Styela clava: one gene and its partners. The main gene of each other region encodes a partner of the protein of the gene in region 4 in a complex. Links are inferred from orthologs where the notes say so. Each region holds a gene or a part of one and is shown on either strand. Other genes may lie near its edges.

The links.
Region 1: 116 kDa U5 small nuclear ribonucleoprotein component-like (region 4) and putative small nuclear ribonucleoprotein G share a complex: the UniProt entries of both Homo sapiens proteins name them as parts of the minor spliceosome. The link is inferred for Styela clava from reciprocal best matches to the Homo sapiens genes EFTUD2 and SNRPG.
Region 2: 116 kDa U5 small nuclear ribonucleoprotein component-like (region 4) and pre-mRNA-splicing factor ATP-dependent RNA helicase DHX16-like share a complex: the UniProt entries of both Homo sapiens proteins name them as parts of the minor spliceosome. The link is inferred for Styela clava from reciprocal best matches to the Homo sapiens genes EFTUD2 and DHX16.
Region 3: 116 kDa U5 small nuclear ribonucleoprotein component-like (region 4) and pleiotropic regulator 1-like share a complex: the UniProt entries of both Homo sapiens proteins name them as parts of the minor spliceosome. The link is inferred for Styela clava from reciprocal best matches to the Homo sapiens genes EFTUD2 and PLRG1.

Annotation. Positions count from the first base shown.
Region 1 is NC_135255.1:6,374,277-6,381,174, reverse strand, and holds putative small nuclear ribonucleoprotein G, read left to right. Parts: upstream 1-4,681; 5' UTR 4,682-4,762; coding exon 4,763-4,996; 3' UTR 4,997-5,556; downstream 5,557-6,898. Other genes in the region: 26S proteasome regulatory subunit 6A-B, read right to left, coding at 734-877, 1,176-1,313, 1,820-1,882, 2,549-2,656, 3,147-3,272, 3,483-3,563, 4,196-4,276; centrosomal protein of 131 kDa-like, read right to left, coding at 6,625-6,898. UniProt on the Homo sapiens protein: Plays a role in pre-mRNA splicing as a core component of the spliceosomal U1, U2, U4 and U5 small nuclear ribonucleoproteins (snRNPs), the building blocks of the spliceosome.
Region 2 is NC_135261.1:8,620,194-8,628,994, forward strand, and holds the start of pre-mRNA-splicing factor ATP-dependent RNA helicase DHX16-like, read left to right. Parts: upstream 1-5,263; 5' UTR 5,264-5,282; intron 5,283-8,801. Other genes in the region: uncharacterized protein LOC120329709, read right to left, coding at 488-630; peptide chain release factor 1-like, read right to left, coding at 1,375-2,694. UniProt on the Homo sapiens protein: Required for pre-mRNA splicing as a component of the spliceosome. Contributes to pre-mRNA splicing after spliceosome formation and prior to the first transesterification reaction.
Region 3 is NC_135263.1:17,385,820-17,394,510, reverse strand, and holds pleiotropic regulator 1-like, read right to left. Parts: upstream 2,905-8,691; 5' UTR 2,848-2,904; coding exon 1,480-2,847; 3' UTR 1,152-1,479; downstream 1-1,151. Other genes in the region: uncharacterized protein LOC144432066, read left to right, coding at 6,749-6,824, 6,904-7,169. UniProt on the Homo sapiens protein: Involved in pre-mRNA splicing as component of the spliceosome. Component of the PRP19-CDC5L complex that forms an integral part of the spliceosome and is required for activating pre-mRNA splicing.
Region 4 is NC_135262.1:13,318,563-13,327,289, forward strand, and holds the start of 116 kDa U5 small nuclear ribonucleoprotein component-like, read left to right. Parts: upstream 1-4,959; 5' UTR 4,960-5,024; coding exon 5,025-5,190; intron 5,191-5,760; coding exon 5,761-5,840; intron 5,841-6,476; coding exon 6,477-6,668; intron 6,669-7,429; coding exon 7,430-7,495; intron 7,496-7,689; coding exon 7,690-7,839; intron 7,840-8,499; coding exon 8,500-8,601; intron 8,602-8,727. UniProt on the Homo sapiens protein: Required for pre-mRNA splicing as component of the spliceosome, including pre-catalytic, catalytic and post-catalytic spliceosomal complexes. Component of the U5 snRNP and the U4/U6-U5 tri-snRNP complex, a building block of the spliceosome.

The DNA of each region.
Region 1 (6,898 bases), on a different chromosome or scaffold from region 4:
ATACTCATGAATAACAATAAAGAATCAAAAACTACATTACAGTAAGAGAAACTAAAATCTTGATATATAAATATAGTTTAATTTCATTACTTTGATATGTTTCATTTAAGTTTTATTAACTAAGTCATATATGAATTAATCAAGCTTAATTGTGATATTTGATTACTATTCAAGTCTCACGTCAACAGAGATTTACTGATATGTGATGAATCCCCATAATTCTATATGGTAAGAGAAGCACTTGACATTCTAGTGCAGGGGGGCGCAGCAGGTGGCCGGCGGGCCACAACCCGAGGTCCCAGCCAACCAAGCCATTTAGTGTGGCCCTTATCTACACCCAAATTTTCCCTGATCAAGCATAAAATCCTAATCTGACAGTTTGTTAACATCAGATATTAACAAACCATGCAAGAACTCAAAATTTCAATTTTCCCACTAAAATGTTAATGTTAAATAACTCATATTTTACATATCAGAAACTTTCTTAATTTGTTGTGTACATGGAAACACTGATTTTTTCGTGTGGCCCACCTAGATGTTTGAAGTATGTTAGTTATATGGCCCATCGACAAAAAATGTTGCACACCCGTGTTCTAGTAGGTACCGTAGTTGCCATTTTGCCCAGAATGAGTCTTTTACGTTCTTAGTGAATGTGTGTAATGTTGCTTTGAGCATATCCTCATTAGTTAGAAAGTATTTCATAATTATCATTAAATTTTGAAACTCAAAATACCTTAGTTTGCGCAGCACAAGCTCTTGCCAACAAAGTTTTTCCAGTTCCAGGTGGCCCATACATTAGAACACCTTTGGGTGGTTGAATTCCAATACTGACAAATCTATCTTTGTGAGTCATCGGTAAAACAACCGCTTCGATTAACTAATAGAAAAAAATAAGAAATAAGATTAACTAGTAACGAAATGATAAAAAACTATAGAATCCTAGATTATAAGTGACAATGAATCTTTTCACTAATCCCACAATTTCTGTAAATAATAAGCAGTTTTTCAATACTGATAGATAAGATTTATTTTTAATTCGGCATGGTACAAAATGATAAAATACAGGATGGAAATTCGGCAAAGTTGCCAATACTTGCACAAACAAGGTTTAAACAATTTTCTTGATTTTTGTTACTGTTTGTTTAATTTTTTTCCTACTTTGTATGAATGATCACCTCTTGAATTTGTTTGTCAAGTCCTCCTATATCAGAATATTGTTCAGTAGGTCTTTCATCAACTTCCATTGCTTTAACACGAGAATCATATTCTGTTGGAAGCTTTTCCAATATTAGATATGAATCCTTATTTACACCCTGAGTAATTTTAAGAAAGGATTAAATCAACTTTAGTAAATTAAAAAAAAATTAAGATTCCGATTTGAAAACGAAATGGCCATGTAGGATTTTGGGACCTCCCGTAGTATGTGAACCAAGATGGTGGACACCGGAACGTAGTACGAGTGCAAGGTTAGGGTTAGGCCATAATTCCAGGGGCCATAATTCCAGGGACAAATACTACGGGAGTCACTTGGCTAGTCCCTGAACTAGTAATAGGACTAAAATAAGGAAAATTGAAATAAAATCATGGCCAAACCCAACATGGCACACACACGTACTACGTTCCGGTGTCCGCCATCTTGGTTCACATACTACCGGACCGGTTACTAGAGTACAGTACCGGATTTTAAACTTCGAAATATAACACACACAGTCAATGCAATAAAGTCAGTCATTCAACCTGTATATAAATCAAAGTTTATATTCCAGATTTTTTAAATCTGTTTCAGAAGCAACCTGGCAAACACTATTATTAATCTTACCACAAGATCACCAGGAGACATATCTTCTGGTTCAACAAGACCAATCACAGGCAGGAAGTACGTCTAAAAACAAAAAGAGAGAATATATTGATTCATCAAACCATAAAACGGATATAAATTATATTAAAATGAAGAATCAAAATTTGAAAGCCTCTAATGAATGACTGTTTGCTAATGATCTGGCCGTTTACATACACTCACTTAAATAAATGAAACAGATTCAGTTATATTGTTCTCTCAATATCTAACTAGTGCAGCGGTTTCCAAAGAGACGCTAATTGAGCCACAACAAATTTACTTTCTGTTATGTAGTGTCTGCCTCTATTGTTACATAAAGATAGAAATAGACACTACCTACTGGAATTTCGCGAGCTGCAGTTTATTTATCTGCTGAATCGAGTTTAGCCAACATGAGTGATTTTTTCATCATTCTGCTGACTCGAGTTTAGCAAACATGAGTGATTTTTTCACCATTCCAGAGGAAAATCAGGCAGAGATGAGGAAGAAGAGTTTACCTTTTACCTTTATTCCTTAGGCCTACATATTTACTAACTTTAAAAGGTATGAAGTACACATTAACGATCATAAAATTGAGTTTTATTTGATGGTAGCAGTTTTTTTCTAAAAGTTTTTTCCCTGATAATTTGGCGCTCCCGAACAAAAAGTTTGGGCACCACTGAATTAGTGTATACACATAACATGCTATATATATAAAATCAGATGGCATACTTGTCTAGTTGATGTTTTAATCACTGCACATTTCCCCTTGCGCTGAGAATCTAAATCAACATTTGCTCCGTCCTCTTCCGCTTGCTCTTGAGGATCAACATCAAGAAGCTGAAATATTTCATTTTTTCATTGTTTTGTAAATACGGTAATTAAAGTCGTTTAGAGAAGATTTAAAAGGGTTATTCATTGATAATGATAACCAATCAATATGACATGAGATTAGTTGATGTCAGTTCATAAAAGCATCTTTTGATTTTTAGAATAGGAATATCATATTTATCTTGGGGGAGCAGAGAGACTTTAGGGCGGCGTTATCCCTTTGCCAAACCACTGCCTCTCATCCAGTTACCAGTCCATGTCGGGTATGGCAATAGTTTATTCAGATAATGAACTTGGATTTGCCGTACCCAACCAGCGGTTATGCGAACCACCCTACGATGGCTAAGAGTACCTACATATGTCCCAAAGCAATCGAATCCTTGCAGAGAAATCGAAGGTTGGGATGGCAAGCGTATTCCCCTCTCTTAGCATGATGTACCAACCTCCTGGCTAGAAAAAATATATAGAGTGAAGTTTCAAGTTTCAACATCATACATACCTCAATGACATTTGAGACAAGATATGGCAGCGTTTTGTTAACTTTAATTTTTTCAGCATTTTCCTTTATTTTGTCTTTCATAGCTTGCAATTCATGTGATATTCTCATCGTCTCACTTCGCATAATCTGGAAAGCAATTCAACATAAGGTATATTTTGCTCCGAAGCATTCTTACACAGTGAAAACAAAAATTTGGCACTAAAGTTCTGTCAAACAGTTTGAAAATGAGGGATTAAAAAAAAAAATTGAGAACAAAGAGCATTATATAAATATCTATATACCGTAAATAAATTGTTTGTGAATATATTATTTAAGGTAAAATAATATGAAGAAAACCTTAATTTCATTATCAAGAAGTTTCGTTCGACTTGCAATTTCCTCATTGCTCATTTTCATAACTTCTTCACCGAGTGCTTCCTAAAAAAGTCATATACAAAGTTAAACAGGCATCATTGGATGGCAAGCTCAAAACACGCTGAAATTGAAATTTTTTAATAATATAAAATAAAAAATAGTGATTTTTATCAACCTTTAAACCTGTTACTCAAGTGTGTGGTCGTGTGGAGTTAATAACTATTACCGGTACACTACCGGTATTTAAATCCAAAAAGCAATATTCAAAGTTTTTCGAATTTGGCAACAAACTGACAAATCAAAACCTTAATTCAGAGACTGGGCATTCAACTTTTAGGTAACTTATAGCATGAAAGTATATATGTTATATATATTCATTTTCTGACTATATAGCCAGCATAGGCTAACTGTTAAGTATGAGTATAAGTTCATTTCGACTCTATAATCAGCATAATAGACGATAATATAATTGAAAACAAAACTGATTATAGAATCAGGAGAGCAAACAAAATCTTAATTAGGGTTTGAAGCATACAGATTTTAGATGGAAAGGTATTGTTAAAAGAAGTAGTAGTATTAAAAGTAAAAGTATTAAAATCAATTACTCAGTGAAAAAAAATATACAAAAAAATAAGTAATGTTGATTATTAGTGCCTCATCAAAATTTTATCTAACATTGTTTGCGGTTTTCTCACCTCGACACTGTCAAACATATCCATTTGTTGTTCGTCTCCAGTAGGACTTTTTAGCTTCTCATCAATTGCCGGAGGTGCCATCTTCAATTATACTACTGCGACAGCGATTTAATTTCTAAAAAATTGTGTTCTAATAGAAAAATATATGATGATAGCTTGGAGTTTCAAGGTACGGCACAGTACGTAACTTCCAGACCTCTAAATGTAAATCCGTCCCTTCTGAAACGACAGAACAACAAAATCTGACAATGCAAATATATTAGATGCTTACTCATACTTTTGCCACTGGAGCGTTACGGGTAGTTTTTTAGGAAATAAATACAATTTTGGTTGAATATTTTTCCTATTTGTATATTTTATGATTAAATAATTAATTAATAAATAAGTTAAGACCAGAGTAAGCATATTGCATCATTTACTCCATATTCTTTTTGATGAGCTCAAACGCTAGGGGGAGAAGCAAGCTACTTCTTAAAATAAGGACGCGCGTTTTGATTGCGCTCAGTTCACTTTCTGCGCACTGTATGTTTCGGTATTTGCTGTTGGATTGTATCGCGTAATATCAAGATGAGCAAGGCCCATCCACCAGAATTGAAGAAGTTTATGGATAAAAGATTGGATTTAAAGTTGAATGGTGGACGATCTGTTACGGGAGTTTTGCGAGGATTCGATCCTTTCATGAATCTAGTTGTGGATGATGGAACAGAGCGCAGAAAAGACGGGACCACTGCACCCGTCGGAATGGTGGTCGTTCGCGGAAATTCGATATTAATGTTGGAAGCATTGGAAAGGATTCAATGATTTTTAATGAACTAATACCAACCACAAAAAAACTGATTTAACAATCCGTGATTGTGCATAGACTTATAAAAACATTTCGATCTATTTTCGGTCTTGCTAATTATCGAAAACAGCGTTTATCATAGTTTCTTTTTGTTTGTGCTGTTTTCGGTAAGTTGTAAGAGCGATTTTTATTTATGTTTGTATACCCTACTTTGATCTAGTGTAGCTTCCAAACATGTACTACTTAAATACTTGATTGCAAAACAAGCTAAACAGTGACTGCTTACCTCCAATAGTGATGGTTTGACACTATTGTTTCTATACCCCCAAAGTGGCATTGCGAACCATATGTATTTTAACTTAGCATATCATTGGGAAATAGTATATCTGTTAATATTGAGCAAAATAAAATGCATAGTTTCCTGTGGCTCTAATTACCTTCATTCTGTCATTTTTAACTGTTGCAGTTGTGTAATTTCAGTTCATGCTAGATCTATGTATGAAGGTAATTGAATTGTAAGTCTTATTTTCTATGTGCCAATAGCATTTTGCTATGGAATAAAATTTTTAAAAGTGAACGTCTATGTTTTAAATCTCAACACAATCCTATTGAGAAAGCCTGCAATGTGATACACATAGACGGATGTGCATATCCGCATTCGCTTAGAAACATTATCCCATAACGAATGCCTGTCAAAATGGGCTGTTATCGTCCTATTAATTGTTTGTCGTTTTCTTTGATCCTTGTTTTCTTGAGATATAAGCAAAGTATAAAAAGGGAAGCCGGGAAAATAACTTCTCCCAACGGATTGAGGAAATAAAAGAATAATACCCAATTTTGATATTTATATGATTCCAAAATCAATTAGATTGCAAATGAAGTGATGTTCCAAGACCACCTCTTACAGTGGTTCCCAACCTTTTATGGCTCGTGGCCACGCTGTTTGTTTATCATTCCAGTGTTATTTTGATTGGTAGATTCCAAGTTCCATTATGTTCAAACAATTCATGCACTAAAAAAGGGAGGAACACCATGTGAAATAACCTCATCAAGCAACGAAACTAGGAAGAACGGAGAGTTTTCTTGAGAAGTGGATAGTAAAATCAGTTTTACGCCTAGCATTGTGCCCCCCCCCCCCCCTGACCTAATATTTAATGCCGTACCCTACTTACTTTCTGTGCTCAATCCGAATGAACTACTCACTTATCCTGCCTCTTTCACCTTCCCATTTTAAAAGAGCCGGCACAATGAAAAGTAACTATTATAATGTATCAAATATATCAAAATTTGCAATAACTAAAAAATAAAACATTTCAGTAAAACATGATACCCATGGTGAAATTGAGTAATCATTTTAGTACAAAAATATATTCTCTATTCTCTGTGAGGGATAAAACGCTGCTATGCTAAAATACAGAACAAGGCACATGTGTCGCCCAAACTACCAAAACAGTCCAGGTAGGGCATGTATAAAACCATCAATGTGACAATGTAGTGACCAAATGAACGATTTGAGCTTTGGACAAAGCTGGAGCTACAAGGTTATACCGATGACATTATGTTAGGCTCAGGGCTGAAAATCAAAGACCTTAAGCTGGACCAGGCAAGATATTTGATGGTGAATTCTATTAACCAGGAGATATTGCTATTTCTTCCTGCCAAGGAGTTGTTTTCGTTGTGCTTCCAACAAGCCTTCTAGATGATCAGCACGCTTAACTGCGGACTCATGCTGTTGTTTTATTTGTGCAACTGATTCTTCTTTTTTCACAATTGCTGCTTTCACTCTTTTGTGTACTTCAGCAAGCTCCTCTTCTTTTTCTTGGTTTACTCGATCCAGTTCCAACCGGTGTCGAGCTCGCATTTGTGCGATTTCATTCTTCATCCTCTTATTTTCTTCCTCTGTGTGTACTAGCCGCTCA
Region 2 (8,801 bases), on a different chromosome or scaffold from region 4:
GGTCCTCGCCACTCCGCGGCCCAAAAAGTTTGGGAAATTCTGTTTTAGACGATCACTCCCTATTCACTCAATACAAGGCTCTGGACAATTAGGAATTTTAAATTTGCCAAAACGACCTCAAACCTCCCAGTTAAATATAGCCACGGTGATGGAGAGCCTTTTAGAACAATCAGGAGTGGAGTCGAAATATTCAAACTTTCAATGCCAAAATAATAAGGCTATGGATAGGGATAGGATTTTATTTACAATCCTGATTTAACAATACATAGCATATTTGTGCAAAACTTGCAACATCACAGAATATTTAACTGTAGGTAATATTGAGACACATAGATTGTAATCTATCATTATTAGGAATAGTGAGCCCCGAAAAAAAAATCAAACTTTTTTATCTACAGTAAATTATACCAAGTTGTTCATCACCGAATTAATTTTTATTATTCTCTGCCTGAGATAAAAACAATGTAACGACAAAAAACATACACACCTCGTGAATCCACCATCTGTTTTTGCCGATCTGAGATTGAGAAACTGTCTTAATTTCTTCAGAGCTTTATCCCTACATCTTTTATCGTTTCCAGCTAACCGTCTGGCAAATTCAGCCTCGATTGAAGCAGGAGCCACAGCCATTTTGGGCTTTTCAAACAGGTAAATTTAAAATTATGACTAAAAGTCAAATATGAAAAAAACATAAATATATTTTAGAATATTATGGACATTAATAAATATTTGACTAATTCGTAATAAAGAACTTGGAACATGTGAACAATAGCAAAAAATTGGCATTTAAAAATATCAAAAAAAGATGCTAAATTTCATGCTCAATTATCAAGAGTTCACAATCAGTTGTTTATAAAAAACACGCTTTTCGACTATAAAAGCCATGTTTAGCAATCGGAAAGAGACACTGAGAAACAATATTTTTTTAATAGGATGGTCAATGTCAATACATTTATCACATTTAGTTTAAATACTGCAATAAAATGCCTGCAATACTGCCCAGTGACATCTCTCGATAGAACTGCCATCATTTTCACACCATGAAACAATATAAAGAGCATTCTTATACCAAATATAGATTTATAGCCAATTAATAAAAGGTATAATCCAAATATGTAGCCTACCAAATGTAGCCTGCCAAATGTAGCCTGTCAAATATGTAGATAATTTAACAAACTCAAGTTGCAATCAGCAACTCACTAGGTAATGTAATAACCTGTAGGTAATAGGTTCTGCCACTGATTCATTTGCAGCCAAGTCAAGTTCACTAAAAAAAAATATTTGATTGTACCTGTATAATAATATAAGTTAACAACAACATTTTTAAAACTAATTATCGTTTCCGGTAGCCTATCAATCATAATCAGATCATAGTTACTTTGAAACAGCTGATTTGACTTTCTTGTCATTAAAAAACAATTGTCCTTCATCAAGCAAAATTTTACTTGTAATATTTAATTCTTCCAATTGAGTTTTACTGTTTAATTTTTCCATCAAATTAAGCAAAGTTGTTTCACCATTAAGAAACTTTGCAATTCCATGGGTAGTGAAGCCAATTCTATGATCAGTCACACGATCTTGATGATAATTATAAGTCCTAATTTTATCGGAACGCTCCCGATTTTTGACCTGCTGTTGACGAGCTTTAGTGAGAGCACTTTGTTGCATACTATGTTTTTCTGATGCTAATATAGCTTCTAGCATTTGCATAGCACGATCCTTATTATCATGTTGAGATCTTGTAGCATTACATTCAACAATCTTTCCAGTTTTAATATGTTTTAATCGAATTGCGGATTCAGTTTTATTTGCGTGTTGACCACCTGAAGAATTAGAGCGTTTAAAACGTTGAACCTCCACATCTTTTTCATCAAGTGTTTCAGTTCGATTGCTAAAAACTGGAAGTAAAGCGACGGATGCTGTACTGGTGTGTATTCGTCCAGCTTTTTCTGTCTCTGGCACACGTTGTACCCTATGGGTACCAATCTCATTCTTAAACAATTGATACATATTTCTATCTATAAAATTTATATTTGCTGAAGACTTCTTCAATCCTCCAATATCAGTATACTCGACATTTAAAATTTCAAAATCATGTCCAAATCTTATACAAAAAGATTGATACATTTCGAGTAATTCTGATGCAAAAAGCATGGCTTCTTGACCCCCAACGCCCGCTGACACTTCGAGAACTGCGTTGGAAACTTGATTATCACCGTGCATTATTTCAAAAAGCTTCGACACAATTATTTCATTACATGACTCTATTTCTTTCAAAAGTTCTTCTTTTTCATCTTCTGCAATTTTAATTAAATCATCTTTTTCATCAGATTTAGCTTCAGTTAATGCTTCAGATACAAAAGATTCAACTTCTTTTAAATTATCATGAACACCGTACAGATTATCAATATCATTGTTCAAATTTTCCAATTTATGAATCGCAACCTTAGGATTGCTCCCAAAAAACTCTAATAATGAAGGTGGCCATTTTGTCTTTGAGCTAGATTCTATATTTAAACGTCCATAAGCAAACTTGAAATAATCAAAAAGATCTTTATGGTGAATCTTCTCTCCTTTCATAATCGAAGACGTAGACAATTGAACAGCATGTCTGATAATGCCACAACATGTAACTGATTTGTGTAATAATTGAGATTTATTGCAACAAGTCCGAGTGAGGAATGTTAGAAACATAATACAGGTTAATCCTGTAATTATAGTCTAAATAACAAACCTAGAACTGATGAACAACAGAATAGCAAATTCACAGATTCCAAAAATATCCCCAATATCTGAATATTTAGATATATGAAAATAAATAAGATGAAATTTGGTAGGAGACATTTCTTTAGTTCTTTACTGCTGTACTGCCTAACTGATACAGTGATATGGGACATGCATGCAATAAATTAAATATAGATGTTACTTTGACAGATTCATATTCAGATATTCTATTTCCATCGTGCATGAAGTATTGTACCGACACAAGTAATAAAAAAAATGGTAACAATAATATCAATTGAAATAAAGAGACATACAATATTACTGCAAGTGATAAATTGATCAAAATCTTAAAACTGTAACAAGCAATGATTTAGAGAAGAACATTTTGTTTGAGTAATAGGCGACTGAGTGGGGTGCCTTTTTGCATTGATAGCATTATGGAATTTGAAAAGAAAAAATTATGATGAATTATTTGACTGATAATTGTTGATTCTATAGTGAATTTAAACTATAAGTTATTTAGAACACTATATCATTGATATTCAGGGTCTCATGTAGTTCCTACCTAACATACTTCTAGTGGGCGTAGCATGACAATTTTTTCACGTATCAATCCTAACCCCCACCTGACTACACCATCCAAAAATTACATCATTACCACGTCACAGTGAAGTCTGAAAGTAATAGAGCCCTTCAAACTATATGAACTCGTCGCAACGATTCCAATAAGAGAGAGATCGATAACGTCGGTCAGTTCTTCTGTTCTTTAGCGTCGGCGCCAATGCCATTTCGGGCGATTGTACGTATATTTGGCAAGCTCAGTCTATGACGGGATTGTGATCTCGTAGTGACGTAATTTTTGGATGGCGTAGTCAGATGGGGGTTAGGATTGACATATCAAAAAATTGTTATGCTACTCCCACTAGAAGTACGTTACGAAAAAGGTACGAAAATACACGAGACCCAATATTCAGATATTTAAGTATTATCAAGGCATTTCAGTAAGTGTGGCCCTCGGCTAGCTTACGGGAGAGTGACAAGTGTCCATCCTCATTTTTTGTCCAACTTACGCCAATTGTCACTTCTACACTTCAACATTCAGTTCGACTGTCAGACTGTTCGATAACAATTCACTCATTCAGATTCTATAAGTTCAGAACTTTATCATAACTCACAATTCAGCAATTCTGTAATTGAATATTTCATGTTGCAGTGTTTCGTCCGCTTGAAACATGTAATAGCCTACCTACTCCACTCAATTACGCGAGTTACCGTATGTTATATCCCTATTCTACATGCGTCAGTCAGCAGACATATACATACATAAGCATATGAGGTCCCAACTTTTTTTTTTTGCCAAATTCAAATCCATTGCCAAATCGGATTTATACAAATGATAGTTTTGGTATATCCAAATAATCAAATATATATTTCAATATTATTGCATGAGGTCCAAATTTTATTTTATTTTTGTGATGTTATTTAGGTGATTTCATACAATGAATAAGTATACAATGAAAAGATTACGCAACTAACTGCAGCTAATAGCCATGCTGCAACAATGGTTATTTCCCGACCCTTGACCTCACCTCGCCAATGCAAAATATTACAATAATATTATTTTTTTTTTGAAGGTGTTTCAACGATCTGGTCATTATATAATAACTGAGGTTAAAAAAAATATTCTTATCTATATTTACACTTTCCGTAACTTTTATCTTCATTATGACGAGTATTGGGATAAGTTAACATTTGCATATTTGTCCCGGGGGGAAGGAAACCGATAAGACGGTCTTAATATAAGTTTATCCGACGCCATAATCAGCATAACAGCAACAATGGTATATATTTACGGAAAAACAAATAAATGAATATTGATCATGAAATCAGAAGAGCAAACCAAACCTCAGATTAGGTTTAAAACATACAGATATAGGATGGAAAGTTTTGCCAAGGAGGATAGGATAGGATTTACATATTTATCCCGGGGGATAGGAAAGTCGATAAGACGGCTTAATCATATGACGAACCACGGCCTCTCGTTCTGTTTTCGGAAGCATGGACTTGATGGTGGAGGAAGCCGTAACCGACCAGCGGTTACGTGAACCACCCTACGGCGGCGAGGAATCCAGCAATCCTCTCGCACATGATCATTCCCGCATGGGATTCGAACCTGCGATCCCACGAAGAGTAATCAGAAATGCGGTGGCGAGCGTATTCCTAACGCTTAGCACAATGCGCCACACCGCCGAGCCAAGAAAAGGTACGTGTTCACTAACCTGAAATTAATAAATGAATTCACACACACTCACATGTACCACTCGCAACCACAGAGATATTATAAAGTAAAAAAAACGCTATAAACTTAAAAGATAGAAAACAAAAAAAAAAATAAATAAAATCATAATTATGTCTGAAATTCCGCCTCCGATTAATTTAGAATTTCGACTCCGAGTCCCGCTACTAGCTTCACAATGGTAGCAAAGTGACTATAAATTCCGACTTTTTGACATTGATGAACGGCAACTAAACCTTCTCGATAAATGCAGAAATGCGAGGTTGGTATAATGGATTTTATTGGTGATTTCCGTGTACAAATGATATTTAATGAAATTCTGCTGTTTATGAGAGATCATATACGGCAATTATCGTAAAGTAGGCCTAGTTCTGTAGTTGGAAAGATAGGTACGGTAATCATATGACATTACCGATATGATTATTCAGCCGTCCTAGTTTGTACCGCACTGCTGATTTACAAGCTAACGGTTGTGTATTATTACTGTATTGCTGTAATGGTCTATATCAGTGGCCAGTGGTTCTCAAACTTTTTTAGTCCCAGAGCCGCATTTCAAACCTCAAAGTTATTATATTTGATGGTGTAGCGTACCGGCAATGTATGAAATAATTATCCAAGTTCAGAATATCTTCTAATATGATCTGACGTCAAGTTTTCTCTCAATAGTCCAAGTCTTTATGCTATTTTATGTCATTTATTAACAACTCGAACAGTAAACGATCCAAAACAACCAAACACTCCCCAAAGGAACGAAAAGCATAAAATAAAAATAACAGATACCAGGCAGTAAAATGCAAGAAAGACCACATACACAACAAAAACACTGACCAACCCTGAAATCCAAGACAACTCTGAATAAAAAACCAAATGACCCCTAGAATCTGGTACAATGAACTAGCTACTGCAATTTGTAAAACAGGCCGAAAGTAACTTATGACAGGCATTTAAAAAGACTATGAACAATTCTATAGGTGCACAACATTTGAACAATACTGATGAAAGCTAATTCCACGATAAAACTGAAAATACAACACTACGGTAAATGAACTGTAATGGCACTGTACTGGTAAAATCAATAACATGGTCCCTACGTCAGCCCACTGTCCAGCACAAAACATCCGACAGTCACACAACACAGACAAACATCCCTGAAGACCAGACGCATTCACACAGACATTCAAAACCCACCAATCTAACCGAAACACTCAGACGACTCCACTCTGTCACACACAGCATACACCAACAGACCACGCTGCCCCCGAGAACCGATCGACCGTGTCGCAGCGTCTAAACTGCTAGAATACCAAATATGGAAACGATATCACATGACGTCATTTAACAGGCAAAACAAGGGTCGTCACATTACCCCCCTCTTCTAGATGGAACATTATGAAAGAATGTTTTCATCTCTAAAAAAAATATTTGAAACACGAAAAGCAGTAGTCAAAACCAAATTATGTCCACAAATGTCTTTAAAATATGCAGGCCGTCTACCCTCACGCTTAAGCATCCGTAAAGTTTGTCATTCGGGATTGAGTCCACCAACGTCATCGAAACGACCAAATTGATGTTGCATATCTCCATTGGCTCAACAATGGCTACTATGTTAGATCTCCGGACGGCCAAGGCTGTTGTAGCTGAACTAGAACAACCATTCCCGAGCGGCCGGTATAACCACATCTTCACTATAGTCCCATGACAGCAGGGAGAAGCTGTTTGGTGCTGTACCTTAACATCCTGTCCCTCAAGAACAAAACGATGCGACGAATTTGCCAAGATAGTCCATCCGTGACCCTAGATCGGCGACGGCAACGGTATGCTCCACAGGCCAGCTTTCAATCGTCAGGTTGACATCAAGTGCACCATGAGACACTAACGACTCGCCACTGGCAGTACGCAATGGTACTGGAAAAGAATACAGTTCTGAAATGTCCGAATTTCCTGCAACGTCGAGTAAACAGCGGTGTCTATGAGCGAGACACCCGAACCGAATTTTCCGCAACGTCAAGTAAACAGCGGTGTCTATGAGCGAGACACCCGCACGTGACCCTGGATCGGCGACCACAACTGTATGCTCCACAGACCAGCTTTCAATCGTCAGGTTGACATCAAGTACACCGTGAGACACAAATGACTCGCAACTGGCAGTACGGAGTGGCACTGGAACAGGATGCAGCCCCGAAATGTTCGAATCTTCCTGCAACGTCGAGTAAACAGCGGTGTCAATGAGCCAGACACCCGCACCGGTATCAATCAAAAACAAAACAGGCACGTTATTGACCAGAGCCTTGACATATCATCCATTAGTCCAAGTAATAGAAAAAAAAATCATAGTTCATAGAAAATATCCTGGCGTGCTCTCGCCAAAAATTGTAGCGTACCGGCAATGTATGAAATAATTATCCAAGTTCAGAATATCTTCTAATATGATCTGACGTCAAGTTTTCTCTCAATAGTCCAAGTCTTTATGCTATTTTATGTCATTTATTGACAACTCGAACAGTAAACGATCCAAAACAACCAAACACTCCCCAAAGGAACGAAAAGCATAAAATAAAAATAACAGATACCAGGCAGTAAAATGCAAGAAAGACCACATACACAACAAAAACACTGACCAACCCTGAAATCCAAGACAACTCTGAATAAAAAACCAAATGACCCCTAGAATCTGGTACAATGAACTAGCTACTGCAATTTGTAAAACAGGCCGAAAGTAACTTATGACAGGCATTTAAAAAGACTATGAACAATTCTATAGGTGCACAACATTTGAACAATACTGATGAAAGCTAATTCCACGATAAAACTGAAAATACAACACTACGGTAAATGAACTGTAATGGCACTGTACTGGTAAAATCAATAACATGGTCCCTACGTCAGCCCACTGTCCAGCACAAAACATCCGACAGTCACACAACACAGACAAACATCCCTGAAGACCAGACGCATTCACACAGACATTCAAAACCCACCAATCTAACCGAAACACTCAGACGACTCCACTCTGTCACACACAGCATACACCAACAGACCACGCTGCCCCCGAGAACCGATCGACCGTGTCGCAGCGTCTAAACTGCTAGAATACCAAAACGATATCACATGACGTCATTTAACAGGCAAAACAAGGGTCGTCACAATGGTCACAATGCAATGTGACAAATATTGTTTTTTTGTTTCAATTTCATGTTGTTATTACTGTATTATTTATCTGTAGTGCATTACATTTTCAATTTCTGGTTGTATATCAGCGTAGTTTACTTTTATCAGTATTATCTTTTAGACCAGGGGTTCTCAAACTTTTGGTGTTGCGGAGCCCGTGAAGAGGTTGACTATTATTCACGGAGCCCCAAAATAAATTTTAAAATTGTTACTTTCCGATTAATATTCCTGAGTAAGTTAAAAGTACTTTACTTAATTTAAATGCTAAACCTTTTTTAACGGGTTAATACAAGTCATAAATAAATCTAAATTTTAAAGATAAATTACCGTATATATATATTGAGGCTGTAAATTTGACACTTGACAAACATATTAATAAATTAGGGGTCAAATCTTTTTCTTTTGATATTTGGTGACCGTACATTTGAACCCACGTACATTTGAACCCATGTGTATATCCACGGGTTTAATCTATATGCGGGTGCTAAAACCCATGGGTTAAGGTTAGTATGGGTTCAACTATCCGAAAAACAAAAAAAATTTCATAGGTGCAATAGCATACAGGTGCAATTGTCATGGGTTCAAATGTAATGGAACCATATTTATTGAGGCT
Region 3 (8,691 bases), on a different chromosome or scaffold from region 4:
ATAATGATTCATCATGAGGTAACTATGCTACTACTGTATTTTGGCTTGACATTCAAGTAAAACACGACACTAAACTAGACATATAGCCTATTACCAACATTTTCCCGTTTTTCTACTTTTAATATTTTGAATGAGTTTGGTTTGATTGTTTATGTATGTAAGGTACCGTAATCTAGCAAAGTCGGCAGCGTATTAAATCTCCGTTTTAGAATTTGGGTTTGTTACTTTTCTGTCTATTTTCGGTATATCCGTATTTTCTATGGATATCGCAACAATCTCACTATCTGGCACCCACTAGAAGACGGGCCCTATTTGTTTTTTAAATTTGTGAAGTTGTGGACGCAATTTCTGATTAGCTTTGAACTTTTATATTGATTTTGTTCCCTCCGCTCATAATACGCATTTTGTTTTTCTAAATGTTAAGACTTGCTATCACTCAACTTGTCGAAGGGTAGACTCACTGCTCGATTGGGGCTTCCTTGGATTCATTTCCCATCCTTGAATCCGAATTAGTCAATAAAGCAATCAAATTGAGTCAATACACCTGAAAAACAGCTGGCCAACTAATCTCATAATACATGGACTGCTAGCAGGAGAAAATGTGTAAAAATTTCAATTAAAAACATGTTATTTATAAACACCAGTAATGAACAACGGTTTTCATATTTTGTATACTTAAAACTCTCGTAATTCTCTTCTTGTAATTTTGTTTTTGATAAATGAAAATAAATGACATCCCCCAAAATAAGCTCTATCTAGTGCCAAAGAAAATTGAAATAGGACCCTTGTTTGTTGAGTCCTATTTTCGGGGAAACGCGGTAGTAATCAGCGATTTTAAATTGTAAACTATGCACACGCTAACAAGCAACGTTGACCATGTTCGTAACGAATTAAATAAATTCACCAACTGAATATTCTAAATTCTCTGATAAGACGTTCTAGATGAAATTTTTTTCTGAATTCGCACAATAGTATCTATCTATACTTTTAGAAATGCAAATGCAAAGAGGTCGAAATTCATAGTAAGCCTGAGGAATGGCAGAATTTTATTCATATCTAGATCTGAACTTCTAAACTCGCAGCTAAAAGTTGATTTGAACTGATTCCTGAAATAAAATCATGCGGACATTGCTAGATAAGTCATGAACAAATGAAGATTTTTTCAATTTATTCTGCAGGATAAGAATGTTGAAAAATTATGACGAACAAGTCCACATGACAAACCAGGTCTCTTGTCAGATTACCAGTCCAAGCTGGGTATGATAATAGTTATTGTTCTAGTAGCATGAACCTGAATGGGAATATGGTAAAGTCCGAACAAATAAGGGTGTATCTCCTCCTCTGCAAATCTCCAATGCAATGCTTACAGATTGGTTGGTGCATATGATTGATATTTGATACCGATACACCGATGTTCGAATAATTTCTATTTATCCAAACTTTTGATAAAAAACTGGAGTTAAGGGTGGTAAGGTACTTTTAAAACCTCTTCTTTCTGATTATTTCTGGTTTCCATTGAACTGGATGTGTTTCTTCAGAGGCTTCATCATCTTCTTTATATATTTTTATTGTCTTGTCAGCCTCACAAGTTACCAAGCGACTCTCACTACGGTCAAATGCAGCAGCATAAATTCCACTTTCACTATCCAAAGATCCAGGCTGAACAGGGGCTTTTGTTCTCTGAAAATTATGTCCTGTCCTCCAGTCCCACATATGAAGAGTTCCATTATCAGCACCAGACACTAAAACTCCATCTGAATTGAGAGCTAAACAGTTTACTATGGCATTATGGCCAGAAAGATTTTGTATGAAATTCCCATCTGGAAATTTCCATTGTTTGATGTTGTCAGGAGAAGCACTTGCAAATGTGTATTGTCTAGGGTGAAGTGCTATTGACCGTACACTTTTTTTATGATTTGTAAGCACTGCCCTTGTTTTTCCAGCAGCAAGATCCCACAGCCTGACAGTACAATCATGAGATGCTGTGATAACCTGGGGTTCAACACTTTGGCATTTTACATCTGCAACAGTGTTAGAATGACCAGCAAGAGTCATGATATTTGATTTTGTCCGCATATCCCATACTCTTGCAGAGGAGTCTCGTCCGCAAGTGACCAAAATATCAATAGTTGGATGTAAGTCAAGGGCGTAGCAGGCACTTAAATGTCCGTGGTAGTGACGAACAACTTTATTCTGTTCTAGGTCCCAGCATTTTACCAGTTTATCCTCTCCACATGAAAACAAATATGGATTCCTCGAACTAACTGCCAGTCCTCTAACAGTGCTTATATGCCCAGTGAGAGAAAGCTTCAATTTGCAGCTTGCTAAGTCCCAAATTTTAATAGTACGATCGTTTGACCCTGTAACAAACCATTCATTTCCTGGTTCAAAGGCAACACACCGAACCCATCCAAGATGGCCACTTATGACTCTATAAAGTTTCCAAGGTGGATGCCATTTAGGTTTCGGCATTATTGACGCTTTTTTCATTGTAGCCAATGCTTTGGTGTTTTGATTAACAGCAACCAACGCTTGGCTACTTGAGTCCTCAATTGGTGTATGTTGTGCTCCAAGTTTTGATGCTTTTACTTCGTTATCCATCTGGTTGTGTTGCTGTGTATTTTGTTTATCTTGCTGCTGTACCTGTGATGCCTGTTTAATATCCTTCGCAGTTGGCATGTGTAATACGGGGCCATATTCATTTCGCATCTTCGTGTTTCGGCGTATTGCTGCAGCTATTTCATTGACTGGCAATGGTGCAGCATGATCAGAAACAAACATATCATGTGAACGTTTCAAAGAACGAAAGACTAATGTATGTACAGAATGCTTTGTTACTTCCTCCATTTTGCTAAATTTCTTTATTCTAAATTTTTCTGAAAAAAAAACAAACGACTTGTTGTAAGTTGGCCATATTTGAAAATGATGTACAGAATAGCAGCATTGCCAATGCATTGGCACTTCCACAAATATGATAGTACTAGCTAGTATTCCGATTTACATTTAATTTATGATCACCAATAATCAGATTGTAAAAGAATTTGAGTACCTACCATCAAGTAGGAAGAAAAAACTAAAGTATGAAATCGTTTAAAATATAGGCCTTTTATATTACATGCATTATATATAAAAACTATTTTCCTCATACAATCACAGGCCTTTTTTAATAAATAGTTTAGCCAGTTTTTCGATCAAGTAAGCTAACAAGCTTGGCGGTGTGGCAATCTTTCTGGACATCACAGTGACGTATTAGAGCCCATCAAACTATACGAATCGTCATCCAAGAGGCACAGACAACATCCAAAATCGAGCAAGCGATTTCTCTCATTTTTTTGTCGCAACGATCTCGATATGAGAGAGATCGCAAGCCACTTGTCAGTTCTTTATTATGAGCGCAGATGCCACTTTAACTTTGGCAAGCTCTATGACGTGATTGTGACGTCGTAGAGAAAAATTTTTGGCGGAGATGGCGTAACTTTGGATGGCATAGTCAGGTACCGTAGGGGTTAGGATTGACATGTAAAAAATTTGTTATGCTACGCCCACTGCAAGGGGCGACGGACAACTCGGCTACACAAACAACTCACAACAGAGGTCAGTGTCAAGTACCGGTACGTTCTGACGTTAGGTCAGTCTGTCAGTAGGTACGGTACCGTACGAAACTATGCAAGAACCACGACTGGATGGCGGATGCTACGATCAATACATACAGACATAGGGTACGGTACTATGCCTGCCACATAACAAGCACCAGAGAACGGCGTGCAAACTCCGAAGTCACGGCATGGAATCAGTGAACGAGTCACACCGCCTGATATCGTGTGCAAATCTACCGAAAGCGCGTTAAAACCTACATTCTGTGTGTACAACTAACACAATATTGTCCTATTTGAGAAAACTTGAATGTACAAGTGTAAAATTATTCAAATGGAACATCCCAACTTATGCTTTGACTGACTCGGAGCATGGTCTATGCTCAAGAGTCCCGACTATCAAACCGTAAATAAATACTAATACCGGTAATACTAATACAGTGATACGATCAAACGACGCTGGGGATGTGTTTGCAACTTTGCATGAGTCAAAGGTCAATTATTCGGCTAAACTAAACTAGGGATCACCAAACTTTTTTGACCGCGGGCCAGGTATGACTCAAACTGAGTTGAAACGGGCCGGACAAATATTTTTGTCAACACAATAGACTCCCAAAAGTTGGGAAATCCATCCAACAATATAAATTCTACATTTCTGAAGTCTCGAATATTAAATTCTATACCGCAGAATAGGGACCTTTCCCCGAGCATCGACTTCCTTGTTTACTTCGTGACATTGGCCAATCAGCAAGATGCAGAAAGGAAAGTAACAATGCCCCCTTTTCGCATCCGCTCAGACCGTAGTAGCAGAGCCATTATTTAATGGCTATGGTAGTAGTATATATTTACGCTCAAACACTTTTTTCACTCAGACAGATTTTCAAACGTGGTCGTAAACACTACCTCGTTTTCGCGTTTTTGAACTGTATTCGATAGTTTTCAGTTGTGTTTCGGAAACTTAAATATAAATCAGATAATTCCATGATGACTCTGTCTTCCTAGGAGTTTTAATTTAATTGCAGTAATAAAAAATTAGTATAGAAATGGCTGTGATAGACTAGGCTAAAATTCTTTACCGGTACTTTTAAAAAAACAGATTGTTATATGCGATGAATCATATTGATGGTTTGAAACACATACCCCATTTTACCGGCGCCAACTCGCAAAAGCACTCTCAATATAGCCACGAAAATTTTGCAATGATAAAGTATAGGAAGAATTTTTCGGGAGGCAAAGGTCGGGGAAAGGTCCATAGATTAAGAACAAATATATATGATTTATAACCAACTATCCTGAGGTTAGCTGCTGGCAAAACAATTGCTCTCATGAATATTCGCATGTAAGCAGTACACAAGTTAATGTGACTTGTACTTTAGGCATAATGCACGTTTGACGTTCATTTTAGCACGAGAAACGTACACAGCAACAGTACCGCTGAAAGCACGCGCCACGAATGGACGAGTGCATCCTTCGCAGAAAACGTTGCCTACCGGTAGAGAATTTTAGCCTATTTTATCACAGCTACTTTTTCATTACTGTAATTAAACTACAACTCCTAAGAAGGCAAAATGATGATTGACTTATTGGACACGTAGTGGACATAACGATCGTTCAATATTATGTTGTTGTTCTTGTTCTTTGACACGTTTTTAAAAAGTCGCTTTTCTCTTCGAATACTGGACCAATTGCTTTGAAATTTTCAGTGGTTAAAGATTAATTTTTTTGCTAGAAGGCTATTACTTTTATTTATTTCAAAATTTTGCGTGAATTCTATGAAATTTGATATTTCGTCTAAAATTTTGCTGTATTATTTTTTATCCATGGGAACACGGATTTTAGTCAGTGTCATGACTGGCTGTACGTTTTGATTCTGCAAAATTCTTGCTACTGGAAATTCAGAACTTTTTTGAGGGTACCGGTAGCGTCAAAGGTACCGGTAAGGACTGATTCGCTCTGGTCTAACGTGTCCATATATTTGTGCGTAGCTCTCTTGTTTGATTCATACTTCGGAATCACGACCAAAAACTAACGAAAAGCATTCAAAATCGCGAAAACGAGGTTTACGACTAAAAATATGTCGAGTGAGCGACAAGGTTATTTTATCCAACCAGTAAAAAACAATTACATACAATATTTTGAAAGTGGTAATCGTACAATTTCACTGTGGAAGGGAAGCCAAATCTGGGTTTAGAGTAGCGACACCCAAGGTTCTAATATCTAGTTTAAAAAAATCGGGTGATTTAATTATAAAAATACTGTTATTGGCGGGGAGTACCGTATGGTTTTGGCGAATTTTATAATTAAAATATATTAATAGAAATAGACAACTACTAGAAATTAGATACGAGCTCGGACGCCGGGACAAGACGTTAAAAAGGGGGACTGTCCCGTATAAAACGAGACGTACCGTAAAACCGGCTAACTTCGGATGCCTTGTAACTTCGGATGAAATTTTCAATCATTCATATTTCAACTAAATTTCGTCGTATTGCGCTTCTGTCGGTTTCTATAGTAAGGCCTCACATATCTGAATCTGCCGTAGCCTCCAATCGCTCGATTTGATTTTTTATCATTCAAAAAATCATATTTTACCAAAAAAATGACACCGTTTTTTCGAGCGGCTCAAATCGTGACTTCTACAGACGCTACCTTCGTCAAATCACCGCCAAGCGCTAGAGAGCGTACACAATGTATACAAAAAAATACAGTGATCACAAGGTGTCGTACGAGATTCGAGTGAAATCGATTATTTTGATTTAAAAATTACATCAAAATATCGACGTTTTGATGATTACGTACAGCGTGACGTCAACGACGCAAATCCCGTTCTCTCTCTTCGTAGCCGACGTCACTTTGCGTAGCTCGTGCGTTACTCGCTGCGACATTTGAACGCCAGACATCGCGGCGCCCAGTTTTGTGAAATTTAAAAATTATGCTTATCCATGATCCTAGTCACTAAATCCTACAAAAAAAAATCCTATTTAAAAATATGGGTATGCATACGCTTAATGCATATGAAATTTGTCGATTTTTGTTTTTGCATACTTCCTCCGACACCGATAGATATCGTAGCAATTGGTAATACGTTAGGCCTGAAACATGTATCTATACGATCATAATGATTAGATATGTCTGTAGATTAGATATGTCGGCAGATGATAATAATATCGTTAACAGGTGAGCGTAGAACTCTACATACATGCACACAGCAGGAGGTTGGACCACATACAGGTGAGGCGCAAAATGAAAAAAAGTGGCAAAGTTTCTTTTTGACGTTTTTATCCGTTTATTGTCATTTGACTTTATTAAGTGAAACGAAAGCGAGGATCGAAAGTCACACCGGGCAGGAACCTCTGCCGAGCCGATCAACGGGGAGCTCTGAGAAAATCAGAAAATATGAAAAGTGATAATCAAGACGAAACCTGCTCTGCTTGTGGATTATGGAATGATCCAAATGGAAGTACGGAAATTGAGGTGGAATGGGTCGGTTGCGAAAGCTGCAGCGAAACACATTGGTTCCACAAGAACTGTTGCAAAGACCCGTCTAACCCATGTGGAAATGATTACAATTCTTGATTTTGCCAGCGTTTCCATCAATTCATCTGTTTATTTTTAACTGTCGAATTTTTGTTCATACCTTACTTGTTCCATATTGCTTTTTGATTTCAATTTTTACTTTTGCCAGTGTTTCATTCGATTCATCCGTTTATTTTTAATTGTCTAATTTTTGTTCATTCTTTACTTGTTCCATATTGCATTTCAATTTCAACCTACACCAGTGTTAGGTACTTTCAATTCTTCCGTTTTTTTTTTGTTAATCCTTTTCTTGCATTGAAAATAAACGATCATAAAAGAACGAACTAGCATTTTGCAATAAATTAGGAGTAGTTAGTGAAATATATACGAGTTATAATAAAGGACACAAGAATAAATAGTTAAGCTTCGCGAAGCGGCAAGAGTAACGTCACGTAGTAACGTCACGTACAAACGTCAGTATTCAACACGCAAGACAGGTCGTGGCGGCGTAAGGTCTATTCAGCGACGTTGTCACGCGTCATTGCTTACGCAGACATTTCTCTCTCACGACGAGTTGACGCAAAGAGAAAAGTGGCCATCCGAAGTTAGATAATTTTAGAATAGACGAATAAAGACAATAATTTCAATGAAAAAAGGCTTTGATGGATATGGAACCGACTTTATCAAGACGAGAATAGCCACAATGTATTATATTCCAAATTTGGCTTCAGTTGAACAACATGCGGCGGAGATATTGTTCAAAATATAGTGAAATCATCCGAAGTTAGCCGGTTTTACGGTATGGTAAGCCTATAAATATATGGTAACGCGCTAATTACAATATTTTATGTTTTAGAACCAAAGTTTTACCAAACGTATCCAATGAATATCACACACAAATTGGACCCATTTCCGTTTTTTTTGTTTCCTATTAATACGCAAAGCATATACTTAGTTATATTGTTTTTGAAAGCATGGACTTGATGGTGGAGGAAGCCGTAACCGACAAGCGGTTACGTGAACCACCCAACGGCGGCGAGGAGTCCAGCAATCCTCTCGCACATAACCCTAACCCTGCATGGGATTCGAACCTGCGAACCCACGCAGAGTAATTAGAGGTGCGGTGGCGAGAGTATTCCTAACGCTTAGCCCGTTGAGCCACACCGTCGCGTATATTAAAGATTCTATGAAGATATAGGCCATATATTTTTTATTACGTAATTTTAATTAACGTCGTATAGCAAATTATATATATTATTAAAATAGTCTAGTATGAGCAGTCGTTGAGTATGAGGGCAAATTAGGTTGTTTTGAACGGAAGCGATTGTTACGACCGGGGTAATTAAATATTTTTATCGGTAAATATCCATTTGTCTATTCATGAAGTACTTCTTTCTTTATAGCTACCAGTATTGGTACTTCTTTGGTATCCTAGTATCGTATACTACTATTACTAACTTGCCATATAGTGTAAAATATTCACCATGGATTCTCTCTTTAAAAACGTCAAGCTAAAATAGAATCTAGCCGTTTTTTTTCTGATTTTGATTAAGGTTTAGGATTCTTTAATCAGTATTATTTA
Region 4 (8,727 bases):
ATTCTTAATTAATATAGTTCATCTGTGCCACTCTTTTCCTTCATTTATGCTTGATTTATGAAGTCGCGAAGCTCATGTTGGCTAGAGTTTCTTGCTAACTTACTGCTATAAATGAATTTCGAAAAAATATATAAGCGATTAGGTAGGGGAATACAAAAGAGGAGTGCAGAAAACGAACTATTGCGTAATTGGGATGCCATTCCCGACACTTTTTTGTGTCCTAAAAACTTGTCCTAACTCCATGTTTTTATCTATATATGCTTATGAATCTCTGTTCTCGGTTATGAACTTTATTAAGTCTCGTATTAGGAGTAGCCTGAAAGATGAAACCAGTAGTTAGTGCATTTCTCTGGAAGTTATAAAATATAAACTCAATGTAAAATCTCTATCAGCGGTAATGGGGCAGCAGAAGTTTCACTGATATAGAACAAGAGAGCTGTGCTCAAATATATGGACACGTTAACCAGAGCGAAGCAGTATTTACCTTTGAAGCCACCGGTACCCACAAAAAATTCCCGAGTTTCGCGTAGAAATAATTTACAGAATCAAACCGGACAGCCAGTGTTCCCATGGATAAAATAATACAGCGAAATTTTAGACGAAATATCAGATTTCGTGCGATATTTAGAAATAAATAAAAGTAATAGCCTTCTGGCGGAAAAATCAATCTTTACTCACTGAAAATTTCAAAGCAATTGGTAGTAGTCAAAGAGAAAAGCAATTTTTTTTAAAATGATGGAGACAAATAATAACAATAACAACAAAATTTTGAAACGATCGTTATGTCCACTACGTGTCCAATAAGAATGTCCTGGATTCTTTAGTTTGAATAAAATCCGACGGGAGTGCTGTGGTCCATCCCGCATCGCTTCGTTTCTCAAATGTATTTGAATATTTTATAAGTTACAAATAGTTTTATCACTAATAACAAAATATCTTCCAACCCCAAATTCCCCCCCCCCCTAAAATACTGGTACACACACTTCTGGAGCGCCATTTTTTTAAATTGCGTAAGATACGATATTTGAGTAACAGGCAAGACACTAATTATCAAGCTCAGCATCGTTCTCGCATACAGTAATGCCCAAACCCCTCGCATGGACCAAGATTCTCATGGAAACATCTGTTCTCTACAAATATTTGTGTCATGAAGCACGGAGTTCCACAAGGATCTTTACTTGGCCCATTATTTTTTCTAGCTTACATTAATGACATGTCCAGGTGTCTGAAATCCTCTGAGTCGATCATGTTTGCTGATGACACTAACTTGATTCTTCATGGTGAAAACCTTGAAGATCTATTCACAGTTGCAAACCAAGAACTAACCAACATTCGTAGCTGGATGTTAGTTAATAAATTATCTCTGAATGCTAACAAAACTAAATTTGTATTATTCCATCCAAGCAAGCATAAAAGTGTGAGTTGTTCAAAAAAACTACTGCTCAATGGCAATGAAATTGAAAGAGTGAAAGAAATAAAATTTCTAGGAGTTATCTTTGATGAAAATCTGTCATGGAAATCACAAATAATGCATGTTATTGGTAAAACAAAAAGAAACCTAGCAGTTTCTGCCAAAGTATCCCAGTGTGTTGATCAATCAGCTCTACTAGCAATGTTTCAATCATTACTACTTAGCCATATTCGATATTGTTGTTCAGTCTGGCTTCATGGTAATAAAACACTTGTCTCAAAACTGCAGAGTATTTGTAATAATTTTTTAAGAATAGTTTTTGGTAAAAGAAAACGTGAAAGTGTAGAATCTTACTTCAAATCACTAAATATACTTAAGGTTGAAGATATGATGAAATTTGAAATATTATCTCTAGCTCACGACTTCCATAATAATGCGCTGCCCAATTGCTTTAATGACATACTTGTCAAAAATACCTCCAACCGAAGAAGCAGTTCTGATTTATTCGTACCTTTCATGAGTAAATCCGTGAGTCAGCATTCCTTGTCTTTTACTGGACCCAAACTTTGGAATTCTCTTTCCTTAAATTTGAAGACCTTAAAGTCCAAAAAATCTTTTCAAAAACAAGTCAAGTCTCATTTAGTTTCCAAATATTAAAAATTACTACTGGTGGTATTCGATGACAAAAACTTGGGACACTCCACACTTGCACATTATTGTTTTAATGAAAATGTTGAACAGCTATAATAATATTGTTATATCTTGCCACGACTTGGCCAGAACTAGTCCAGCACCAAAGAAATGGTATTGTGACATGCTTGAGTATATATATATATATTTTTAAATATATAGGTAGCTAACGTACCCGGATGATATTTTCTTTAAATAACTGCACACATTCTATCACTTCACGCTCGTGTTTTTATGTTTTTCTAGCTGTGATGTCCTTATCATACACGCTTGGTCTTATGTTTGAGTGGTGGTATAAGGGTTGTAGATAGTACAATATTGTTCCTGCAAGGTTACTACTTATTGCAACTAGGCGAGCAGTAGAGCTATGTTGGTTTCTCCCCTTCAGATTTTAATTTGCTGTGGGTCATTGTAATTGGATGTGGTTTTTATATCATTTATGTATGCATGCGTTTTATGTTAGGGCATGGTGTTTGAGTTGACTTGTTGGCCAAGGTATAGATAGTAAAATTTTGTGTGTTTTTTGCATGGTGTGATAAATTTTTTTCTCTGTCCCAAGCAGAATGTCATCATAGATCATCTATCCATCGCTATACAATGACAATACATCCCATTTAATTAAACAATTATTTTTTGCCTGTAATAAATAGTTCAGAGCGTTCCCCTTCACCCAATCATTGAAACATCTACTCGCAGTTTTATTTTTTGTTTTTCAGGTTACTTCAAAGTGATTAAATGAAGTAAAACACATAAGAAAAAAATCAAAAAAGACTCCGATATCCTGTGAAATAACAACCTTATTCCTATATCCTTGTCTGAAATCAATACCCAAGAATGAAAAACCTCACTTACACCCTTTGTAACCAATTTATTTCCACATCCTACTTTACTTAATTATAGTAATTTTAGTGTTACCGGTAACTTTAATTACTTACTACAATCTGGACTATAATTTGGCAATAATAGGCTCTAATTTGGGGAATGAAATGGTCTCGCCCACCTCTTCATGCACCCAATTCTGGCAACTTTGGTTGGGCAACTTGGCATTTGACTCCAACTATAATCAGCTTGGCAATATGTTTTCAATAGAATCTTCCTTTTATATCTTAATTAACGATTAGAAGATCGATCAATTTGGCAATGGCAATCATTACAAAAATATCAATATGGTGTGGCAGATAATTTTCTTTTCTAGTATTTATTTATTTATTTTTTGTTTACTGTATAGTATACCCTAAATTTATCGCGTCTTATTCTTACTTAAATAAATTCTCAGTGGTTGTGTGTGTGGCTGGTGGGTGCATGTGAGCGTGTGTGAAATAACTTAATAATTTTAGGTGAGTAAACACGTACCACTTCCTCTTGGCAAAACCTTCCATCTTATATTTTGTACGTTATAAACCTTATCTAAGGTTTTGTTTGCTCCCCTGATTTCATAATCAGTTTTTATTTATTTGTTTTTATCTGTCAAATGTATTGTTATGCTGATTATGGAGTCGAAATAAACTTATACTAACTTATACTTATACTTATAATCATTAATGCGTCAAATTCGTCTATTCATACTTGGTCATGGTACGATGAGTTGCAGGTAGGAAACGTATCCCATGCGTTTCGTGCGAGGGAGTTTTAGACAAATGCAGATTTGTAATTGACGATATACACAGAGGTATACAGTAGCGTTGCACGTAGCGTAAGGTTGTTTTGACTTCATATTCTTGTTATCAGATTAACTTCGATAATTAGGATGGGACATGATGTCAATGACATGATGTCTCAATTTTAAAATGTCAATACAAATGTTGATAACGTTTGAACTAGAATTAAAACCTTGAAGATCACGAAGAAATATTGAAAAAATTGATAAATCATTCCGAACTTGGTTAGATGAATGAACTTGATATAATATGCAATATCTGGTATATAATTTATTGTTATTGACTTATTTGCTTTGAATAGTGAGTACATAAAAATAGAAACTGCGTGCAGAATCAGATGAGCATATTAAACCTCATGTACCACTACTTCTTGACTTCAGTACTTGAATGTTATATAAATATGTTTTCGATAAGAATTGGAGTAGGCCCTATTTCTGAGAATTAACTTGAATTGAAGTTGAGACTTGCATCTTTTTGTAGGTCATTTCTGCATTTAGTACATAGTCTGCAGACCTATAGATTGTATCTCTCACAACAGCACGTATACTGCATATATAAAAATTCCCACGAAACAAAAATTGGGTAAATAGTAGTAGATTTTTTAGTAATTATTCAGGCAGTAAAGCACAGATTGGACTTGGATTCCAAGAATAGCTGCATCAATAGAATCATCAATAGCAGAGACATCAATCATGATGCTGAGTGCAAACCCCTTCTTTACGAGACAGTCTGAGCCTCAATATTGGCGTGGCGGTGTGGGTCATCGTGCTAAGCGGTGCTAAGCGATAGGAATGTGCTCGCCACCGCACCTCTGATTACTCTGCATGGTTATGTGCAAGAGGATTGCTGAACACCTCACCGTCGTAGGGTGGTCCACGTAACCGCTGGTCTGTCACGGCTTCCTCCACCATCAAGTCCATGCCTCCAAAAAAACAAGTAGGCTAATTAACTAATCCCATACCCGACATGGAATGGTATCTTATCGACTTACCTCTCCCCCGAGATAAATATGTAAATCCTAATCTAAAAATATCCTCATCAGATTCCTTCCTTCCTTCACAATTTTGATCATGTGACGGCTGCGATTAATTTAGATTTATTTACTTAATCAAATGACTGAAAATTTTGGAACAAGAGAACTGTGTCCTACTGCAGTATTAGCTATGCATCTAATATTTGCCTAATATCCAACTTTTTAGGTGTATTTCAACAATTTACTTTATCTATACAAGGACATAATATAGATACAACAAACATATTCCACCATGGATACAGAAATGTACGATGAGTTTGGGAATTATATCGGACCTGAGTTAGATTCCGATGAAGAAGATGAGGAAGTAGATAATGACATGTCACCATCACATGATCTCGATCGGCAAGAAGATGACGATGACAATGATGTTGATATGGATGGCAGTGGAATTGCAAGTAATACACACAATATTTTTATATGTAGATTATGATATTAATCTTAGTAAAAGGAAAAAAAAATAGGTCAATTTGATCATATATCGAACCATGGATTCTTGTCTCGTTTTCATGCGTTGGTATTTTAATTTTAGTCTGCCTACATCCCATATAAATTTATTGCAAATCAAAAATAGCGATCACCAAACTCAATAATAGTACTTATTACTGGTTTTATGCAGAATTTAATGTAAAACATGATTTTATTAACACCGGCCAGATTTAGTAACAAAAATTTTTTCTGTGAAATTTTATTAGTCTGAATTCTAGATAACTAACTTATAATGTGAATAGAATTCTCAAATCCAAAATCAATTTCGACATGATACAATTTTCATTTTTCTTATATGGTATATTCATAGTCCTTTGCTCTGAACAAGGCTCTGCAAAAGAGACCAATGCTAGGTATTAAGCTACCATAGTGAGAAAGGGGACACCCTGGACATGGGATTTACTGCTAAGTCTAACGTATTAACCACTGACCTACCGCACCCACAATTAATATATTGAAATAAGGAAATTTAATTTTAGAAACTGGGATGGAAGTTGTTTTACATGAAGACAAAAAATATTATCCAACCCATGAAGAAGTTTACGGTGAAGAAGTCGAGGTAAAACTTTCGGTTTAGTTTTACATTATATAATTCAGTATAGTTTTTCTGGCTGCGATTTAGATATGTTGCCAATGTATCCTCACTATGTTGAGATATGTTAGATTCGGGCTAATAGGCACTCATCGAAAAATTAGCAATTTTTGTTTGTCTGTTGCATTGGCAATAGTTAATCAACTTGATTTTTTTTTCCTACTACTGTGTGAGTTTTTGTGATTTTCTTTTCACCAACTCAATTGAAAATCTATTGTTTTAATTGCAACATTTTAAATTAAACAAGGGTGAATGTTAAAAATATTACTGAGAAATAAAAGTTTCAAAGTAATCAAATTGAAGTTTAGAGGCTATTTAGACCCAAATTATTTCAATAAAAATTTACAGGGATATAAAAGTGTCTCGAGTTTTTTTAAGTTTCGCTTTTTTGGATCAAAGCTCTCGACTATTCAATATTGTTTCAGGATAATTTTTTTTAGATAAAATTACTAGGACTATATTGGTGTTTTTTGTTTTCGGCCACCAATCTGATTTTCTGGAATTGTCAAATTCCGAAGGATTAACCTGCAAAGTTGTGGTTATTCTATATCTATTATATTCTAAAATTTTATGGTTGAGCAATTTTTCAACAATTTTACTCAGACGATAGTGCAAGAGGAAGATGCACAGCCACTGACAGAACCGATTATTGCTCCGATAAGAAGGAAGAAGTTCGCACTCATGGTCCAAGATTTACCAAACACTACATATGATATGGAATATCTTGCTGATCTCATGGACTCACCAGAACTTATAAGAAATGTTGTTATTGCAGGACATTTGCATCATGGAAAGGTATTTGATAAATTATTTTTTTGCAAATTTATGTCAATATGCCATAAGATGAATTGAACCATAGGATAAATAAGGTTTTGGCCAACGTGCTTCGTGATTTAGTACCATGTTTGTAGCATTTTTTAACTGGATTTTTTTTACCCAGAGACGGAGCCAATTTTTCCAACTCGTATTCAGAGTCAGTTGTAAATTTTTTCCCGACACTACAGCTCTATTAACAACATTTTCGCTAATGTGAATTTAAATAATTAGTGCAGGATAGAACCTACTTAATAATATTGACTATATTTTTTTCTGCCTCTGATATCTCTGTATCAATGAATCGGTCATACTGGTCCAGACTATTAACCAAATGAGAGGTCATACTTCTTGCTGTAGCATAAAGCTGTGATCCAAGCTTGTCTCAGTAAATAGAGCGGGTGATACTAGAAATTCTAGTGGCTGATCTCCTTGCCATCTTTTTTTTTTTTCTTTCGCATTCATTATTTTCTAACACTTCATACAAATAATAAAATTTATTTTTTTCAGCTTGTAATTTTTTGTTTTTAATATATTAGTTAAATTTGTATATTAAAAACATTTAATTAAATATACAAATTTCAATGATTAATTATTTTTATTCCTCTGGCCACTGCCACAGTGTCTGGTAAAAATCTTGGACGTTCTGAAGAATAAAAAGACAGTGAAAAGCATTTTTCATTGGTTTCTAAATATTAATATGATGTCCTTCTTTATTCAATCCATGTTATTGTTTGTTTTAGACAAATTTTGTCGATTGTCTGATCGAACAAACTCATCCAGATATTGCAAAGAAAGAAGCTAAAGACGTAAGTTTGAAAATCTTGAGATCTATTCCGATCATTTTTTTTGTGTCCTACCGAGTTTATTAGGGCATACATGCTAGAGAAACAGTATCTTGGAATTTTTTTAATTTGAATATGATCCAGAATTATCCAGGATTCCAAATATCAAATACGCTGCAGCCATAAATCCTTGATCTATTTTTCTTCATTATTCACAGTTGAGATTTACCGACACATTATTGACTGAACAAGAACGTGGATTAAGCATTAAATCACAGCCTGTTACTCTGGTATTGCCTGATACAAGAGGCAAAAATTATCTTATCAATGTTATGGATTCTCCAGGTCATGTCAACTTTTCAGATGAGGCAAGTGTTGAGTTTGTAATATCTTATTATACATATAAAATTGAACTTTGCGTCCCCAATTAGATAAATAAGTGTAAATGTTACGTCATTTTGTTGACATTGCATTTATTCTTTAGGTCTGCGTGTTTACAAACTTAAAAATGCATTATTAAGTACGCATCACAAAATTGAGTCTTTTTTGAAGGCAGCAATTCTTTTGCCCGATAATTTGGTGTCGCATGAACGAAAAGCTGCCGCTGCTATAGAGATTGAATTTGATAATGCCACGAAAAAGAAGTTCCCACTGTTTTATCGGATTTGTTATTTTTTCAGCCTTTTTTTGTAATTACAATATAGATTTTTTAGCAAGAGGTGTCAAAAGCTCAAACTGACAATTTTCGTGACAAATGGAAATGTTTTAAATTTCTCCCAAAATATAAAATTTTATTGTATCAATTCGATGCATTCTGTTTCATCTTGACATTCCTGTTGAACTTTTCACTGGGCCTTTAATTCTGCCCAGATTCACTGTGTATTATCCTAAACATCGCAATTCAAGTCTGTCTATAATAATAATTGATGAGAGGTCACCTAAATACCAAATATGCTCTTTTCAGATCCGCTGATCAACGGTGATTCAACAAACCATTGTTTTGAAAATTTTAATTGTTTGTTTCGCAGGTAACGGCTGCAATGCGTCTGAGTGACGGTGTAGTTCTATTCGTTGATGCATCTGAAGGTGTGATGTTGAATACGGAACAGTTATTGAAGCATGCAGTGCAGGTATATTAACTGTGTATTGAATTGCTCATACTGGGATAGGATTTACATATTTATCTTTGGAAGGGAAATGATGATAAGCCAACTTGACCATCTCGCGAACCACGGCCTCTCGTCCAGCTACCAGCC